2 linked regions of the Mytilus edulis genome follow. The protein of the gene in region 1 binds, or shares a complex with, the protein of each later gene. Links are inferred from orthologs where the notes say so. Each region holds a gene or a part of one and is shown on either strand. Other genes may lie near its edges.

Region 1 (3,935 bases):
AATTAGTAAACATTTCAAAGAAAACAGTATACAGAATACAGAGAGTCTCTATATATTATAGTAGCATAATCATAGTATACATGAAGATAAACGCGAAAATAATGTCCTCTCTCCAATTACTTATGCAAATTTAAAAACAGAAGTCTTATCTATTTCTAAAAGTCAGTCTGATGATGGAAACAATATCAGGACGCCTTTTTTTCCGTATTTCTCCCAAAATAACTGAATCTGAATATTATTAAATCATAAGAATGGATGACAAATGCGACTATGCATGGTACCTATAGGACACAGAGGCATGATGATTAATTTATTGTGGAAGGAAGAGAAGTGACACACAAAATGAGGTCTTCTCGTTTAATAGTATAGATATTAAACCTATATCCTTGCACCTGTGTTTTTAATCATAAAAAATGTTGAGGACTTTAACATTAAATCAGAGTGACCTCACAGACACTTTTACTTTTACACCTAAAACTTTATTAGGTACTGTACAACTGAGCAAATTTCCTATCAGCTATTGTGAGTGATTTGCTCAAGAAAAAAAAAAGTTAATTTCGCTATTTTAAGTGATTTCCAAGACCATTACTATCTGAGGGAATTTTTCTCAATGAGAAATTTAGCAATTTTACCATTAATGAACAAAACAAACATCAGGCACATTTTAAAATATCTAGATTGATGGTACTTCCTTCAGACATCATTTAATTTTAATACAGGGAAACCTATCTGAACCAACGCCTAATAAAACCAGGAACCTGCCTAAATTGAACAAGTGTACCAGGACAAACCAGCCAAGTCACTGAATATTCTTTAGAAATTAAACCTTATTAAACTGTATTAATTCTGCCACTTTGACTTTGACAATTTGATAAAAATAAGGTTACCTTCTAACAATCTGTTCCATTTGCGAACAACAATTTCTTTCTTTCTGAAGTTATAGAAAAATCCAGTTCTAGGTGCTGTTTGACCTTCCTTATTACAGGCGCTGAAATGTAAATGAATCTTAATAAATATCTTAAAAACGTAATGTATAACATGTATAATGATAAATTGAATGTTTGGCCCTATTGCCATATTTCAAGGGCTGTCTTTTGTGAAGTTATATCATTCAGAATAATAAAAGTGACAAGGCTATTTAAGGCTATTGATCTTCCACCCATGAAATATTTGCACCACCCTTGGATTTTAAAAATGAACGAATAACAGGGGAAAAAATCATATAATTACAGATTACTAGTAAAATCATATTCCTGATAATCTAAAACAATAAGCATTATTTTCAAAGAAAAGAAAAATATGCCTTAAAATTTTTGATACAGAAAAAGTTACCCCATTTAGACCCTCTAGCATAGCAATGATGAAGTCAACGCTTGATTTCTTTTAGTGAAGAAATTAACCTGAATTCATCTTGTGTTGAAAATTACTTAGTATCTACAGAGACTGCTGAATTAAAAAATACAAAAGACCATAACATGTAATTTTGTCATTCTCAACATACAGGAACCATGTGTCTGTGGAGTGTGGACTTTGATAATTGTTTTGTCTAAACTCTGAGAACAAATTATACTGTGGTTTCATTAATATTTGTTGGATACCAATTTTCGAGGATTTCCTGAGTGACCAGGGGAACCATAAATATTCAATGGATTACATATTTTCTAAAGGAATGAATGCAGACTTTGCCAAAACCACGAAAATAAATATCTGAGACTATGCACGTTTTCTTCAAACCACGAAAATCGGCACCCAAGAAAATTAATGAATCCACAGTATTTAATCTAGTACTTTTTTCAATATAAGTGACAATAATTTAAATCAATGTAAGTAACATACCTATAATAAACAAAATGAAGACCTGCAGGAATCATTTTAACTCCTCTGAACTCTGGTCCGACATTCCATGAATTATAATCAATACCAAATTCTGTTCCAACTGGTACATCAAGGAATACAAAAATAGCACCTTCTTTGAACAAGGTTTGAGCTGTGTCTTGATCCATGATCTGTAATTTAACAAAAGAGTAGATAAATTAGCCCTTCATCCAAATTACAATGTATAACCCTAATCATCTTTTGTGTGTAAATTTGAATCTGACCAATAGGTCATAATAGCTTAGCCTTAATATGAAGATCTTTTCTGGATATAATTCCAAATAAAGAGTATCCATAGTTTTCATTTTAAAATTGTGATATAATTATATCCTTAACATGCTAAAAGAAATGTCCAACACCAGAAAATTATACATAGGGAATTGTTAAAGGAAGTTGATAGTCTAATATATTTACAAAATATTTCTTCTTTTTTCAAATAATGGGCTTCGTATTGGGGATACTTTCATGACAAATAAGGGTAAAAAATCTTGCCACCTGATGTTATCATTAAATTTTGGTGCATGACGATAAAAAGTACATTTTTTACAATGATTAAAAAGAAATTGACTGATTTTGACAAATCACATTAAATTCTTTCCAACAATTACGGTAACGGTTAAATATTTGAGACCTCTGACGAATTATGATGGGGATATTTTGACAAATCACGATAGGATTTCAACCAATTATATGCCTAACAGTTAAGGGTCATTCCTGCCCTCATTAAGAGCAACATTTATCATGATGTGTATAATTTTGTGGTTTTCATATAATAATTCATGTTTGGGAGAGTGTTTTTTTTATACGTCCTTTTTTTCTCTTTTGTCATAGTGTTTATTTGTCCTTCGACTTATGAGAACTTTGCTTACTACTTCTTACATTAAAAATACAACATCAAAGCTTAGAGGGACATGCAAACCGACATCCAAAAGTGAGGGAACGTCTAAAATTCGTTTTCCCAATGTTGAGGTTGTGGCCAGATTATCCCTACAGAGAATCATTGTAGTATCACTAAGTACCTAAAGGGAACTTAAAAATAAAAAGCAACGTACATGAAAGAAGCCAACTCGCCCCACATGTCAAATCGCCCTAGACCAACTTGAAGTTAAGGGAGTGATCATATTGTACAAAAAGTAGAAAGTTTATTGTTTCTAAAGGAACCTTGGATAGAGACATTGCTATCGGTTAAAAAAAAATACATTGCTATCAATACCCAATATATTATATTCATAATGCATGAACATGAAATTCATGAGGAACTAAAAGGTTGTAAAATAAATTTTAAAAGAGTTCAGCCATGATTTCCGATTACGGGCCCCAAATGACCGCAATTACAACACTGTATATTGTAAATTACATTGATTTTAATTACACATATCATATAAATGAGGATAAGAATAAAATTCGTATAAGATTATATATGATAGAAAAGATTTGTATAATAAGAATATATTAATCCTTGGTAATATTGACAAAGTTTTCTTACAGAGGTCCACTTTTCTAAAATTAGCAAGTTGTATATACGATTTAAAAAATTTCAAGATACTTGAATGAAAAATAGGCTTCTACTAAGGAAAGACGAAGAATTTATATAGCGTGACTATGCAAACCCTTTATCAGACCTCAAAAATATTTTTATGTACAGGTTTCCCCCATAAAACTCTGATCAAATGTGAAAGAGATTACAAAAGAGATTATCATACAATTTTTAAAATATTTTAACTACACGAACGATTCTCAATTGCTTAATAAAAATCGGTAAAACCAGGATGTAATTCGAAGGTTAAAATTTGGTGAAACGCTTGGTTTTAATTTCGTAAAACTGTTTGATATTTTCGATGTTTAAATAGACGATTTCAGAACGTTCACAAATAATAGTTTAAAATTGCTTTATTTCAAAACCTTAACAATCCATTATACCTCCTGAAATATTTCAGAACCTCCATCACCGCATTTCAGGGTAAATATTACAAAACCTCTATTATTCTATAATTCGAAATATGCAGATGTCCTAAAATAATTATGGAGTTCCATAAATGTATTGGGGCAACTTGAAATTG
Region 2 (3,935 bases), on another chromosome or scaffold:
TGCACAGTATTCAGCAATAGCAAGAAATCTTCAATTGCACAGTATTGTGCAATTACAAGAAATTTTCAATTGCACAGTATTGCGCAATAGCAAGAAATCTTCAATTTCACAGTATTGTGCAATAGCAAATATTTTCAATTGCACAGTATTGCGCAATAGCAAGAAATATCTAATTGCACAATATTGTGCAATAGCAAGAAATTTTGAATTGAAGTTATCTTCCTTTGTCCAGAATAGTAGTTGAATCAAGTTAAATTATTGTTTTATACAATATATAATGTATATTCACTTTTACTACCAACTGATAAATTAAAACAATCTTTACCATTCAGTGATAACAACCACTTTATTTTACATTTTAATATTTTATGATGTATTTAAATGAGTAGTTATTGTTGCAAACTCCATTAGAAATTTGAATTGAGATCAGTTTTAGAAAAAGGGAAAGGGGGATGTGAAAAAAAAGGGGGGGGGGTAAATTTTTCTCATTTCAGATGTCATAAATAAAAAGAAAATTTCTTCAAACATTTTTTTGAGAGGATTAATATTCAACAGCATAGTGAATTGCTCAAAGGCAAAAAAAATATTTTAAGTTCATTAGACCACATTCATTCTGTGTAAGAACAATGCAGAAACCTATGCTGTGTCAACTATTTCATCACAATCCAAATTTAGAGCTGAATCCAGCTTGAATGTTGTGTCCATACTTGCCCCAACCATTCAATGTTCAACCTCTGCGGTCGTATAAAGCTGCGCCCTGCGGAGCATCTGGTTTGTTTTGTTTTCATAAAATATAGTTTGATATCTTTAAAGTCTGTAAATATTTAAAAAATCTACCAAATAACAAAAAACTTATGACTATTTTTGTCTCATCCGGTCAACCGTCCTGTCACTAGCCGGTCAGTCATCCTGTCATTAGTGCAACCCGTTTTCATCACACTTAGACATGTTAGAAAAGTGTGGTACTACGGAACAGTCATTATTAATATTTATGCATATTTTTGGTGCTTTTTCAAAAATGTATATCTGAAATATGTATCAAGACTGAAAATAGTGCTATGATCAAAACCACCAGCAATCATTTTTTCCATCTTCAATGTGGGTCTCATTGGGGTCTTAGCGTGACGCGGGATTGCCGCTTTTTTCGTAAGCGTCAGGGCCGTAACTACCTAAGAGGCAGGGGAGGCAACTGCCTCGCCTCCCCTGAATTCTCTACACCAATTTTTTTTTCAAGTAATAAAATGAAATATTGACAATATGTACACGAAGAACTTGAATTTATATTATAAACAACCTAAGTTTATAGTTTTAACAGTGTTCTCATGATTCGTGATATATGTCATTTTCCGGATTTTTGATAGTAATCTCGGACTAATGCCTTAGTAGTTAAACACTCCCATTCGTTGTAGCAGGGACTTTCTATACTAACTTGTAAGTATATACTAGTATAAAAACTTTCAAAGTCACTGGTTATAGTTATATACATGTCTGTTTAGCTTTCAACAATATTGAAATTCAAGGTCCTCGATAAAAAAGATATCTTGCGTTCTATGATATCGATTGATATGTTTTTTTTACTTACCAGTTTGATTTCTAACAAAAATATCTTTAAATACAGATGATAATTGATTGCATAAAAATTGCTTCCAGGATCCAGCAATACTGATGTTTCTTAAAGTAAGGAAATCGAAGGAAAACGGGTCATTTTTAGCCACTGATTCAAGTTTATTGAGAAAAAAATCTGCGGTCACAATGTATATAATGTTAATAATTATAGGTCAAAGTACGGCCTTCAAGACGGGGCCTTGGCTCACCCCGAACAGCAATCTCAGCTTGTTTTTGCATAAAAATTGCGTCCTGGTTCAAGCAATACTGATGTTTCTTAATGAAAGGAAATAGAAGGAAAACGGGTCATTTTTAGTCATTATACTGAGAAAAAATTTGGCGAGGGGCTGTGCCCCCCCAAACCCCCTCTCTTAGGGGCCTCAATCGGCGGGCCCAAACCCCTGCCTCCCCTGAATTGGAACCCTAGTTACGGCCCTGAGCGTGAAACGGGAAAGTCAAATTATTGTGCCGTGAAAACGGGAATTAAGGTCTAGCGGGACACGGAAAATTACAAAAAAATGAGAATTGCTTAGGTACATAGTGTAAGCGGGATACAGGAATCTGACAAAACAGTAAGCGGGATCAGAACCCCTCAATGAGACCCCCTTCAATTCGTCAGTGGAATGAACTACCATCTGGCATGATGATCTGCTGTCGTCACAGCTTCCACTTTGGCAGGATTCAAAGACAGCCTCCAGACACCTGCTTCATGTAAGATATTTCAGTTTTAATTGTATATAACACCACGATGGCTTTTAACCGGATTTGTGTAAATAGTCATTTGCGATAATACACCAGAGGTGGTATGCAAATTATTGGAAGAAGAAGAAGAAGAAGATCTTGATAAAAACAAGACAGGGACAAGTCCGATAGATACGAATGTCATTCCGAGTTGCTTGCAAACCTTCAATATCATCTTCATCCAATATGTCATATTTTCCAGTGTTTTCATCTTCTTCGTCACTATCTAAGGAATGTTTATCTTTGAATCTCCGGGCTGCTTCGTCGTCTAAATCTTCGAAATCTCTCAAATCCTCTTCGCGGTCTTGTTCAAATCGTTTTCGTTTCGACATTTTTAGAATTTTCAGATTCTGGATTTTCAGAGAAAACGAACTTAGTCATATTGAAAATATGATTGTTTATTCATATATAAACGGAAAGGTACATAATTTTCGACTCTAAACTTTATCTTTTTTATATTTTCAATCTCATTCTTAAAAGAATTAACGAAAAAGATCAAATAAATTTTGATTCGTTTTATCCATTGTGATCAATAAAATTTCGAATTGTTTAAAAATGGCAGAACGCACTTGGTTACTGGAGTAGAACGGTCGTTTTTAGGACACTTCATCCCATTAAAGGCGTTTTCACGTAATAAATACTAGTCAAATGTATTTATTGAGGATAAATCTTAAAGACAAATCAAGTGTCTACAGTTTGTACATTGATTTAGGCAAACGTTTTAAAAAAATCCAAGTGGGTCTGGGAAATTATTTCAATAAATAAAAATATATTGATGCATTGACCGTGAGGCTTATGCATGAAGACCTTTTAAGTATTTGACTCTTCTAGTAGTATTAATCAATAGTTAAAATTTTTGCAGCGTCCAATAGTCAAATGATAGTTCTATGGAAACTTTGTGCCCCTACAAAGTCATACCCTAGGAACAGAACTGACACAGATTTTATCAAGCCCTTATACTAAGTACACTCCTTATCACTATTTGTTTTCCATTGCTGGAATTATACATCAGTTTTATCAGCTTGCGCTCTCTCTTTATTTTATCTTGTCTCTTGATCATATTGAATATATCACATGAACTGACATATTAATAAGTCAGAGCTCAGACATAAATAAGTCTGAATCTGCTTTTGACTCATAGAGGTCTAAATTTGTAAGTTTTAGGATTTGTCTCCCTTTAAAGCAAGACAAAATACGACTTTAATAAGTCATATATTGTTAAGCAAGAAGTATTGATCAGAATCAAAAAGTTGCAAATATAGGGCTCTTCACGGTTAGTTCGGCCATATTTGATAGGGGGCAGATTTTTTGGAAAGAGGTGGAAATAGTATGAAAGTATGGGAAATCCTATGCATGTTTCCAAGCAATTGCTCTGTTTTAATGATGTTTTCCCGTATTTTTCACACCATTTGTACCTCCATTGTGAAAATCTGCCCCCTATTAAAATTGGTTAACTGCAAGACCCATGCATATTTATAAACAGGTCATACATCTAAATCAAATAATGGCAACATTGAAAGACAAGGCTTTGTCTTCTAAAGAAAAATATGAATGAGAGTCTAAAAAATCAGAGATAATGTTAATTAAAC

The links.
Region 2: protein AAR2 homolog (region 1) and CD2 antigen cytoplasmic tail-binding protein 2 homolog share a complex: the UniProt entries of both Homo sapiens proteins name them as parts of the U5 snRNP complex. The link is inferred for Mytilus edulis from reciprocal best matches to the Homo sapiens genes AAR2 and CD2BP2.

Annotation. Positions count from the first base shown.
Region 1 is NC_092348.1:58,117,022-58,120,956, forward strand, and holds the start of protein AAR2 homolog, read right to left. Parts: upstream 2,892-3,935; 5' UTR 2,877-2,891; coding exon 2,799-2,876; exon of another isoform or gene 2,755-2,798; intron 2,007-2,754; coding exon 1,837-2,006; intron 989-1,836; coding exon 888-988; intron 1-887. UniProt on the Homo sapiens protein: Component of the U5 snRNP complex that is required for spliceosome assembly and for pre-mRNA splicing.
Region 2 is NC_092349.1:60,053,685-60,057,619, forward strand, and holds the start of CD2 antigen cytoplasmic tail-binding protein 2 homolog, read right to left. Parts: upstream 2,705-3,935; 5' UTR 2,679-2,704; coding exon 2,510-2,678; intron 1-2,509. UniProt on the Homo sapiens protein: Involved in pre-mRNA splicing as component of the U5 snRNP complex that is involved in spliceosome assembly.